Linked DNA regions of Oryzias latipes. Each later gene encodes a partner of the first gene's protein in a complex. Links are inferred from orthologs where the notes say so. Each region holds a gene or a part of one and is shown on either strand. Other genes may lie near its edges.

Evidence for each region.
Region 2: med23 (region 1) and med20 share a complex: the UniProt entries of both Homo sapiens proteins name them as parts of the mediator complex. The link is inferred for Oryzias latipes from reciprocal best matches to the Homo sapiens genes MED23 and MED20.
Region 3: the proteins of med23 (region 1) and med24 are in contact, whole or in part, in a cryo-EM structure (PDB 7EMF), measured with the Homo sapiens proteins. The link is inferred for Oryzias latipes from reciprocal best matches to the Homo sapiens genes MED23 and MED24. Residues at the interface, in NP_004821.2 of Homo sapiens: Asn150, Thr151, Val152, Ser153, Ser154, Glu193, Gly194, Leu196, Pro197, Trp199, Leu201, Gly202, Asn203, Ser206, Asp207, Asp210, Arg213, Tyr258, Asp259, Lys260, Phe263, Ser1133, Arg1139, Ser1176, Glu1180, Glu1182, Trp1183, Val1184, Tyr1186, Arg1189; in NP_055630.2 of Homo sapiens: Lys238, Thr239, Leu280, Leu283, Lys287, Val291, Glu295, Cys336, Glu339, Phe340, Lys343, Leu344, Thr345, Pro346, Leu347, Asp349, Lys350, Gln353, Lys384, Glu720, Lys721, Trp723, Thr756, Arg757, Lys758, Glu759, His760, Met802, Asp803, Pro804.

Annotation. Positions count from the first base shown.
Region 1 is NC_019882.2:15,911,818-15,915,466, reverse strand, and holds part of med23 (mediator of RNA polymerase II transcription subunit 23), read left to right. Parts: intron 1-1,210; coding exon 1,211-1,417; intron 1,418-1,496; coding exon 1,497-1,640; intron 1,641-1,757; coding exon 1,758-1,903; intron 1,904-2,951; coding exon 2,952-3,197; intron 3,198-3,286; coding exon 3,287-3,429; intron 3,430-3,611; coding exon 3,612-3,649. UniProt on the Homo sapiens protein: Required for transcriptional activation subsequent to the assembly of the pre-initiation complex. Component of the Mediator complex, a coactivator involved in the regulated transcription of nearly all RNA polymerase II-dependent genes.
Region 2 is NC_019863.2:2,278,163-2,281,732, reverse strand, and holds med20 (mediator of RNA polymerase II transcription subunit 20), read right to left. Parts: upstream 2,163-3,570; 5' UTR 2,053-2,162; coding exon 2,039-2,052; intron 1,867-2,038; coding exon 1,721-1,866; intron 1,174-1,720; coding exon 920-1,173; intron 850-919; coding exon 628-849; 3' UTR 573-627; downstream 1-572. Other genes in the region: bysl (bystin), read left to right, coding at 2,359-2,623, 3,252-3,408, 3,506-3,570. UniProt on the Homo sapiens protein: Component of the Mediator complex, a coactivator involved in the regulated transcription of nearly all RNA polymerase II-dependent genes.
Region 3 is NC_019877.2:9,580,012-9,584,167, reverse strand, and holds the start of med24 (mediator of RNA polymerase II transcription subunit 24), read right to left. Parts: upstream 2,873-4,156; 5' UTR 2,753-2,872; intron 2,747-2,752; exon of another isoform or gene 2,627-2,746; intron 2,489-2,626; 5' UTR 2,488-2,488; coding exon 2,358-2,487; intron 2,273-2,357; coding exon 2,190-2,272; intron 2,063-2,189; coding exon 2,024-2,062; intron 1,941-2,023; coding exon 1,867-1,940; intron 1,548-1,866; coding exon 1,324-1,547; intron 1,182-1,323; coding exon 1,070-1,181; intron 975-1,069; coding exon 824-974; intron 1-823. UniProt on the Homo sapiens protein: Component of the Mediator complex, a coactivator involved in the regulated transcription of nearly all RNA polymerase II-dependent genes.

The sequences.
Region 1 (3,649 bases):
TCGTACTGATGGGGTATATGGTCAAGGAGCTCTGGAAACTCAGATCTGGAGTCAGTAGATTGATCAAATGTGTTGGTTCCGTTATCTAACACCAGACCTAGTTCATAAAGGATTATCGGCTCCCTCACTAGAACCGTTTTTTGTGGCAGATTTCTCTCTTGGGGGTAAATGTCTGTGGATCCTTCTCTGTCCCTTCTCTGTGCCTTTGTTGCTCTGTTGCTGTTGTGTGATTGGGGTTGTGTAGAATAGACAAAAAGCCACGTTCAGCCTCACAGCTCCTCTTCCTCCTCCTCTTCCTGAGCTGCCAGTCTGCATGCGGGAATGTGTTGCATGCTTGGCGCTGACTCGCTGCTTGGTGTTCTGCTTTCATGGTCCCCGAACTTCTCTTTTGCTGTGCTGTGTCGTTCAATCCCTTTTCAAACGGACCCAACTTTATCTGTATTCACATATTATTATTTGTAATCCTTGGTTATGTTGGGGAAATGCAATCTTTTCTTTGATGAAATCATTTTTCCTGAAAATTTGCCTGCAGACTTTAAAACTCCACAATGTTTGGAAATGTTTCCCAGAATTCTCCACTGCCTTTACCTGAAGTCACCTGTCAAATATTTCTGTTTTACATTCTAACAGTAAAACAGTTTTTAAATTGAAGTTACTTTTTTATACATTAGGGAAATCAAAGGATCCATATGTCTGTGGATGAATAAGTTTAACCAAAATAAAATAAAAGGTAAATAAGAAAGAAAGAGAGGTTTGACTGTAAATATTTGCAAAGCTCCAGGAATCAGTTTTAGATAACTTCAGAACTCCTAATCCCATTTTTGTTTGATGTTTACCTGTTTTATTCCACGACCCCGCCTCCTAATGTCTAATTCTTTTACTTTATTTTATTATTTTGTTACCTGCGTCAGCTCTGCTTCTGTTCTCCCGTTTGTGTTGAAGTTGCTGAGGGCATGAAAAGCTTCCTTTTAGTTTGCTGCATTTGTTGAAAAAGTGGAAAGAACCGGAACAAGGAGGCCCCAAAACAAACCAGAACAGAGCTGAACTGAGAAGACATAGGCAGGAAGGAGACGCAGTCCTGCATGCAAGGGATTGAAATGTTTTTCTGTTTCTAAGTAACACCGGCTGGAGCATGGACTCTATTTGTTGTTTCTTGTTTCTTTTCCACCTGACCTCCTGTCCTCTCCGTTCTTTTACCCTCCTCTCCCAGCAAAAGCAGCGCTGCCCGGTGCTGGAGGAGCAGCTGGTGGACCTGGTAGTGTACGCCATGGAGCGCTCGGAGACCGAGGAGCACTTTGACGCCGACGTCGGGGGGACCAGTCAGCTGCTGTGGCAGCACCTCTCCTCCCAGCTCATCTTCTTCGTGCTGTTTCAGTTTGCCAGCTTTCCTCACATGGTTCTGTCGCTGCACCAGAAGGTTAGCAGGCCGCTGCAGCCACATAAAACCCCTTTGATTCAAATGTCTCACTCATCTTTCACTTGCTCTTTTGGCGTAGCTTGCAGGTAGAGGTCTCATCAAAGGGAGAGATCACCTGATGTGGGTGCTGCTGCAGTTCATATCAGGAAGCATTCAGAAAAACGCTTTGGCCGACTTCCTGCCAGTCATGAAGCTTTTTGACCTACTTTACCCGGAAAAGGAGGTACTTGTGCTCAAAGACGAATCCTGATCTTTTGTGTTTCTATAAATCCTCTCAGATAAAAACGTCTTTTTTGTTATTTTGGATCCGTCTCTGAATTTTGTGGTTGAACTTTTGCAGTGCATTCCTGTGCCCGACATCAACAAGCCCCAGTCGACTCACTCCTTCGCCATGACCTGCATCTGGATCCACCTGAACCGCAAAGCTCAGAGCGACAACTCCAAGCTGCAGATCCCCATTCCACACTCTCTGAAGCTGCACCACGAGTATGCATCTTCACCCGCCTAATGCATCCAAATAAATCAGAAAAAGTGGGTTTATCTACTTGGTGGCAGTGGCTCATGCGGTTGAACAGGTTCTCAAGTGATCGAAGGATCGGCGGTTCCACCCCCGCTCTCCCCGAGTAGACTGTCGTTGTGTCCTTGGGCAAGGCACTTCACCCTCCCTGCCTCCAGTGTGGCTCCACTGGTGTGTGAATGTGTATGAATGTCCCGGTGATGGTCAGAGGGGGCCGCCTCTGTCATCACCAAGTATGAGTGAGGAGTGACTGAATAATGGACACATTGTCTGAGCTTTGATCGTCTGGAAAATCGAATCCATTATTAGTATTTGTTTTTTTTAAAGACAGAATACATAAAAGTGTAATTTTATTGTTGTCAGGCAATTTACTTTTGGAAGGCAGTCGGACTGAATCGTCAAATACCTCAATAGTTGAAAGGGGCCCACCGTTGAGAGAATTTGAAAAAAAAAACTCTTTAAAAATGTGACTTTAATAGAAGTGGACTGCAGACGTCAGAGACTTGGAAGCCTCCACTCATAGATTTACTCAAAAATCCCTTATTTCAAGACACTACAGTGCACAGATTTTTCTGAGGCTTCTTTTACTTTGGAGAACAATGAAAGTTCTTTAGGTTTTAGAGTCTGGCAGTTTTAGTAACCAGTCCTCATGATGTTCGATTACTGTGTTTTTTTTCAGATCTCAGGCCAGTGCAGCCATCCAGCAGTTATATTTGAAATGATTTTATCTGCCTAAATTACCAAAGGTACCAGTTTTTAGTTTTAGGGACCATATCGTCTCCGATTAATCGAGAGTCTATTGATACGTAAAAAAGGATGATGAGCACAGAGACTTCTGTAACACTCCAGCAGTGCCTGAGAAGGGTTTCTTCCATTTATAATAAAGAAAATACTAGAATAGATCTGTTTTTTGTCATGTTCTGATTTATTGAGATGCACCTGTAAATACCTTCATTACTTTTTCTCCTTGGGTCAGCTCAGTGTGATTAAAAGCCCTCCCTTATCCATTTTTTTTAGGTTTTTGCAGCAGTCGCTGCGTAATAAGACCCTGGGCATGTCTGATTATAAGATCGCCCTGCTGTGCAACGCGTACAGCACCAACTCTGAGTGCTTCACCCTGCCCATGGGCGTCCTGGTGGAAACTATTTACGGAAACGCGTCCGTAAGGACCAGTTTGCCAGGCACTAACTGTATGGCATCAGGATCGGTCACCCCCCTTCCCATGAATCTGCTGGACTCCCTGACGGTTCACGCAAAGATGAGGTATGCGGGGGGAAAAAAAACAGACGGGAAGATGTGGAGTGAAGCAAATGTTTCACTGCTGCTGCTTTTGTCTGCTTTCTTGTCTCCAGTCTAATCCACAGCATCGCCACACGCGTGATCAAACTGGCCCACGCCAAGTCCAGCATCGCCCTGGCCCCCGCTCTGGTGGAAACTTACAGCAGACTGCTGGTCTACATGGAGATCGAGTCACTGGGCATCAAAGGATTCATCAGTCAGTCTCTATGGTCCTTTTTTGACTACTTTGACATTTTTTAGAAATGTTTATAGAAAATATATTGTCTCAATGAGCATTTTAAGTAGTGAATAATTACACATTTTACTCAAAAACCCCAATATTTTTGATTTCTAATCATTTTGGGGTGTAAAAAAAGCATTTTGGGTCTTGTTTTTCAGGCCAGTTGTTGCCCAATGTGTTCAAGTCTCATGCGTGG
Region 2 (3,570 bases), on another chromosome or scaffold:
GTTGGGAGTGTTGCAAAGGGAATAGTAGCTTTTTGGTTTTAAAACAATAAATGTGGTCAGTTATCATGCATCATTGACATTTATCAAGTATGAGACTGGCTTGTGCTTTATAGTCCTTCAAATCCTTGAACTTTTCCAGATATTCCAGGATTTTTGCCTCCATAGAAATCCATGGGGAATCCTTGGTGCAGAAGCTCGCTGGTTTGATCCCTCTGGCATTTTTCACACACGTATCTATTTGTTATTGTGCTGTTTTCACTTTATTGTTGTTCAACTTTGATCATTTCTTTCCTTTTTTGTGCCAATTCTTACCCTTTAAAGGTTCATTTTCATTCAACAATATAGCATTCAACCCTGAATTTTCTTCTGGAAATGCGGCTCCTTCTAGTTCACCTAACATTTTCTGAACTAAAAAATGCATCAGCTACATTAAAAAAAGGCTCTGGTTTCTTACCTCCACCTGATTTCTTTATTGCAAAGACATTCAACTAAGTTCCTAAAATAAATGTTCCAGAAGTTGGTTTTCAAAAGTTTCAGAAAAACATAATCAAGCATTTGATACAACCCCCCCCCCCCCCCCCCCCCAAAAGAAAATAAAATACAAAAAGGCCAGTTTGCTTTCCTGACCTAACGTACATTACTCCCTGGGATCTGCAGTTTACGAAGTTTGTTGAACAACTCCAAGTACTGCGTCATGGTGTCAACACAGTCCGCTGCTGCAAAAAGCCCTTCGGGTTTAGCAGCAAACACAGATGGAAGTTCGGGAACGCTGGTGCCAAGAAAAGACTGCATGAACTCCTTCATGAGGTTCCAGCAGTCCCCAGGAACCACACAGGGGCAGTACTCCACCTGCAGTAAAACACACAGGGCACATCATGTCCACCCGTCCCGCTGAAAGGGACAAACTGCATTTCCATACCTCCACTGAAATGCCTCTGGCGCTGGAGCTCATCGTCACAGTGCCCACCTTTATCAAAAAGTCACAGTATCGGTAGCGGGAGCCTCGACTCTCCACCTTGTGTCCCTTGGCGTTCTGGAAATGACTTTTTAACTTGGACATGAGGACGTCAAAGTTAGCATCAGCTACTAAGTAGGGTCCTCCTTCGAATAGGGCCATGCAGCTCAGAGGGGTTTCAGAGTTATGCATCACGTATAAGAGCTTGGAGGGCTGACCTGTGACAGACGGGAAACACTGGATGATGCATTCAACTCAATAATACATAAACTCCACATCCATGATTCAAATAAAGGCACATCTGTTATTGATGTAAAAAAGGTTTTTAAAGTCTAAAACCTTAAACAATATTTGGTTTTATAGTAAGGCTTTGAGATGGTTTCTACCATAAAAGGCCAGAGCCATTAAAGTGCAGCTGAAGGGGTGATCTGTCGTCACACTCCAGTAGAACTAATAGGACCCTTATCTAATTTGTAAAATATTCTCAAGATAATTTGACAAACACACATAAGATAAAGTGGCTATGTATGCTTAATTGTGTCCCATATTTACTGCAGATGTGTCTGAAGGAAGAATTAGCAAAAGCCCTGAATGTTCTTGTTAAAAATGCTACCAATTAAATGCAAGGGCACAAACGGAGCTCATATGCCAATCACCTTTTTTTAATTGCTTTTTAAAGGTCTAAGCAACCACAACTAATTACCACATGAATAAATAACTACTAATATGTTTCCCGCGTGATGCTTGAAAAAGTAGCGAGCTTACCGACAACGTTTCCCGTGGCGTGGTATGTCTCACAATCCACGCAGAAGCTGCCTTGTTTCACAGAACCGAGCTGCTCCAGCTTTTTTTGCAGGACGTCCACGGTCTGCTGCACACTCTTGCCCTCCGCTATGGGCACCTGACAAACACTGAAAGACAAAACACCCGACTGAGCAGCGACAACCCAACGCATCCATGAAGGGGAGGAGCACGCTTTCCCCAAAAGAACAAACATTTGAAATAGACAGGTCCTATAAACATAGCGAAACCAAACTATGTTGAAATAATAATTACACTTTAATGAGCCAAAATATTCCTTACCAAGTTACTCCCATTTTTGTTTTGCCTCCTTCGCAACTACTTCCGGTTAAACAAATTGACTTCCGGTAAAGGAAAAAATAAAATAAAAATACAAGTGAACATAGACGAATTGAGTTAAACTGATTAACTCAGTTAATAAACATAGGTTCTTTCATATATAATGTTTCGAAACATTTTTAATGAAACCGGATGTGACGTAATGTATTTCCGCTGCCTCTGTCGCGCATGCCGTTTGTCCGCACGTGCTAAACAGCTGGGTGTTTACACACTAAAAAGGCATAGACAGGCTTTAGCTTGTAAATTTTTTTGGAGCTGTAGCGATGCCGAAAGTGAAGAAATCTAAAGGTGGAGGAGAAAAGAGCTCTGGATCCGTGGCGCTGGCTGACCAGATCCTGCAGACGGACACGGTCCGAGCCCGCAACCGGGTTAAGAGCAGAGACCAGCGGCCAGAAAGCGACGACACCTACGTAGACGAGCGGCTGTCGCGGAAAATCCTACAGCAAGCCCGAATTCAGCAAGAGGAGCTTCAGACCGAATATGGGCTGGTACCGGAGAAGAAGAAGGCGACACCGGTCACTGTTCTTGGTAATGTTGGATCAGAACCAGGACATCCGCTTCAGTTTAGAAAATGATCAAACAGAAGCCGTTGATTAAGGTTTCTAAAGGTTCTCTCTTGTTCTAGTTTTTCTTACCGAAGAAAACGATGACCAACTTTAGTAAAGTTGCATCACAGATTCATCACAATTCAGACCCATCTACCCTTAACAAAGACAAGTACACTTGAAGTTTACTTAAGGATACTTGAGTAATAAGTGTGTAGTAGTGTACAAGTATAGACCATGTACGTGTAGTGTAGGACATATAGTAACTGAATACTTTTTCAGACTTTTATTGGAAAATTTTAAATGTATATAAAAAGAAAATTCTAGTTTACTGCTTTACTTTTAGTATAGACAGTATACTTGTAGTTTACTTAAATAGACTACTTTTTGCTAAGGGATGCACTAATGCTATGACTTAAAAATAAAGTTAACTGTTCACTAATGATGGTTTTAGTAAACACTCCAAATTAAAATACTTTCAGTAAATAAATACTTAAAAATAGAAGTAATAATGTTTTCATTTACTCGTTTCTGTAGTTAGTTGGGTGATTCCATACATCTAGATCTGCATCTTTTCATTATGTGAGTTCTAAACACTCCTGTAACTGTAGGTCCTGAATCTGGGGATGCAGACTCGGATGAAGAGTGGCCCGCACTGGGAGAAGCAGTTTCTGGGGCGGCAGAAACCGAATGTGATGCTGAAATTATTGTAGACCCAGAAGACGAAAAGGCCATTGAGATGTTCATGAATAAAAACCCACCAATGAGGCAAGAAACATGGCAGTTCTGACTAACCAACAACAACAAACAGAAACCACCAGGCCAGTTTCTTCTGTCCCTACTAACATGTTTCTCTTTCTCGTAGGAGGACCCTGGCAGACATAATCATGGAGAAAATCACTGAGAAGCAGACCGAAGTGGGGACGGTGA
Region 3 (4,156 bases), on another chromosome or scaffold:
AGAAAAGTTGTCAGAAATTTCAGATCCATAGTTTATATTATGTTTTTCCACCCCGCTTTTGACTTTTTTGTTTTTATTATGTCATTAATGTAAAGTTTATTGCAAATCTTTCATGGATATGTGTTGTTGCAAATAAATATTTTTTAACATTTTGTACACAAGTTCCATTACTGTGAAACAACGGTTAAATTAAATTTTCATGTAATCAAATTATTTTAATTTGCAAAGAGAAATTTTCTCAATATGCTACTGTGAGGTAAAATTAGAAGAAAAATGGCTTAAAATACTTTTACCCCAAATATGTTTGTTACATAATTGTTTTGCTCAGCGTACATGATTTAACCATGAACCTTCTTTCTGTTATGTCATAGATAGAGAGATAAAGAGATAGATAGATAGATAGATAGATAGATAGATAGATAGATAGATAGATAGATAGATAGATAGATAGATAGTTAGATAGATAGAGAGATGACACTTTCATTTGCAGGTAAATTATTCATTACAAATAAAAAACTTCAGTATAAAGCAAAGCTAAAAAAGCTAAATATGAATGTAATTTAATGTAATTGCACAGTAAATTAAGAAAAAATGGTTCTCTTCAGGCTCAGAGGGTCTGATTATGTCAACATGAAGGAGCAAAAATGTGTAAATTCTTAATACAGTTTTACAAATTAACATATTTTACATAGTCATAATTGCAATGTTCAAACTACCGGTAATTCACCTGCAAAATATTTGCAAAAAGAATATGACTATTTCTGACTTAGGGCTGAAGATCACAGAAATTATAGAAATATTTTGTCATGAATTTCAAGCTCACCTGCATTCTCTTGATCATCATTAACTGCTCCACCAAAGGCTGGATCTCTCCGATTAAATTCATGGTTGCCTCCAGCATGATGAAGGCATGAACTGATGGGAAGGAGGCACGCACTGGAAGCTCACACTGCACAGAGAGCATGCTGGGAATACTGGGGAGAGTCAAGAGTCATCCCAAGAAAAATTAACTTTTTTTAATGTTTTAAAACACTTTTGAGTAAGAGCTTAGTGGCTGAGGAACCTTCACCTTTTTACTAAAAACAAACTTTCTTCCAGTGAAGTCCTTAATGTTTGGTTTGGTACATTTCCAAGACCTTCCGTAACTTTAATCACTGCTTGCTCCACATTGTTCCAGGACCCTTTGGAAGAGGAATTTCACATCAAACCTTACAAATGGTGAACATGCAAACAAAGACCATAACCTTTGTGTGCACAAATGCCTACATTCTCTTCCATAACATTCATATTTCAATATTGTCTTTCAATATTTTATTCCCAAACCTTGATCTTCTAATCGGGCGATATGAACCAGAGCTCTGTTCTTGGTGCTTTTCATCAGGGTATGAAGCCTCTCCTGACATGTTCTGAGAATAGCCTCTATGCTGGGTACCGGTCCGAGCTCTCTCAGGTTCTCGCAGTACCACGCACAGGCCTGCAGCAGCCAGACCACCACCCCAAGCAAAGCCCGACACAACCCAATGCATTCCTCTGCTTTGCCATGGCAGCTGAGTGAGAAGACAACAATGTACAGTATTAACAATTAAAGCTATAGTACAAATATAAGATAAAATACAATATGCAAGTGAAGTATTGGGGAAATAACAATAAGACAAGGCTTGGCACACAAGTAAATCAGTTAAGATTTAATTAAAAAAAAAACATATCAATAAAAATTGTTGAAAATTCCAAGTTAAAGTGAGGCAGATTGAAGATTTAAAACCCTGACAAATTTGCTGTCCAAAAAATAAATAAATAAAATAACAAAAATGTACAAGAGAAAGTCACAAGGAGAGAATAGTGGTGTTTACTCAGAAGTATTCAGACCTTAGGCGACAGCAGAACATGTCTATTATGTCCAGCAATGACTTCACACAGAGGTCCCGCGAGAAATCGTCAAACTATAAACAAAACACATTGGTTACAAATGCAGCAGAGATCCATTTAAATGCGAATCTTCTGTCCTTTTTATGATCAAACACACCTTGCTGATGGCTGTGAGCACACTAGCATAGGACACCATCTAGAAAAGTGAAACATTAACAGTCATTATTTAAAAATATATATATATACACACATTTATGTATATACACATTTATGTGTATATATATGTGTGTGTTCAGTTTTCAAAATAAAAGTTCCTTTCCAACCTGTGAACTTATAGCATATTTAAGGTAGGATAAGATGAGTGGGTTAGGGGATGGACCAATCATTGCCTGCTCCATCAAAGCTTCTGGAAAACACAAAGAAAATAATGAAAATTAAATGCATACATGTTATAGGATGAAACGCCGACGTTGTTTATCACAATCAACAACCTGCGAGGTTAAGGTAGTCCCATGTTGCTCCCTTTGGAAAGTTTTTCTTGATGTTGACAGCCCATTGGTAGTCTGTCCACCTTTCTTTCCACGCCTGCAGGATAGCCTGCTTCAAATTAACCACCTTCATGCTGGAAAGGAGCGAACACACGTATCTGTTAGAGAATAGCTAACTCACTTATGTCAAAAAAATAGCAAAATTGCCACACGTTTTAACATATAAACACTGGGTCAAGTCAATGCAGCTGTTAGATTCGCTGTTAGCATACCTTCTCAATATTAGCTAACAGAAAAAAACTAAACGTCTCTTGTTTCGCGAACAAACTCAGAATCGTCCCCGGAAAAGGCCAGAACATACCTCTCAAAGTTTCATTATTGACTTAATTCATATCTACCTGCTCTCGTTTTGTTAAAGCGCAAGATGTGGTTGTTTTTTAGTTTCACAGCTCCACAATGCAGGATACCCCCATTGCTGTTGTGAAAAACACCGCCGCTCATTGGCTACTCCCGACACTCCACCAGTATTCTTTTCGATGATTGGATAATGATGTTTTTCGCTTTTAAGCCTCAACCTTCGACTGCAGAATCTGTCTACTACCACAAGATGTCGCTGTTAACCACAGAACTTATGAAGTAGATCCGAAATTGAATGGGACTCTAAAATGTAGTTTGCAGTAAAAAAAAAAAAGCTTATTTCAGCTTTTTTCTTTCTTTTTTAAAAAGTTGGAAAATCACTACCCAATAGCAAGAATAATGAAAAATATATTTTCAAAATGAACACAATGATTAAATTAGAATAATAAGGAATCAGGAATCTTTATTGTCATTTTAAATTAGCGTCTCTGGTCCCGGGCCAGTCGTTTACAGTGAGAAGACAGGAATAAGTAAATAACAATATGATGTAGTAATAATTTACATTTATGGAACCCACAGTGCACTTTTAATTTAAAAATCTAAAATAAAAAAAAGCTTCTGAGCTTTTGTTCTTTGTTCGATTTTTGTTTTTTTTTGTGTGCACAAAAATTTGTTTTGCAAAAATAAAATGAACCCTTTCTCTGCATCAATCTCCATCAGACCAATCTTGTATTAGTCAGGGCCAACAAAGAGCTTCTTTCTGCTTGTTACTGGAGATGATGTACTGACTAGAGTGAGGTCTGTGTCCTGGGACAAGAGTTATGTAAGACCGAAAGAGATGATCAGTGCATATTAGGTGGACAAGTGTTAGAGGACTGATGAAGTTGCGTGTTTGTGTGGAGGTGTGTCTGGAGAGAATGATCTTTTCTCCTTTACCTTACACTGAGGGCTCTGTTGAGGAGGCGTGGTGACAGCTCTCCATCTGCCACAGGGGTGATCAGAGGGACTGTGGCTGCAGCTCTGTGTCTTTTCTCACGGCTTCATTTCAGAGATTAGGACATGTGCTGATTCTGGCTTTTCTCACTTCCAACCTTTATTATGTTACTTGTTATTGTTATTCAAAAGTGATCCCCCATCTTACAATATTATTGTATCATCATTGTGGTTCATTACATAACGTCTGTTTCACTTTCAAGTTACTTTCTCAGTTAAAGCTGCAGAACTACAACATAATAAACATTTATAATACAAAGTATTTCACATTTACTATAAATAATGTTATTAATATTAACAGTATTGTTTATTTTTGAACAAGTGAAAGCACACAAAAGACGACTATATTAAAATTCTTAGCTTTAGTCAATTTATTCCAACAAACTTCAAATAGAAGTAAAAAAGAAAAAGTAGAAAACAGAGACCAAATTTGGTTGGTGTTCCTCTAAAAG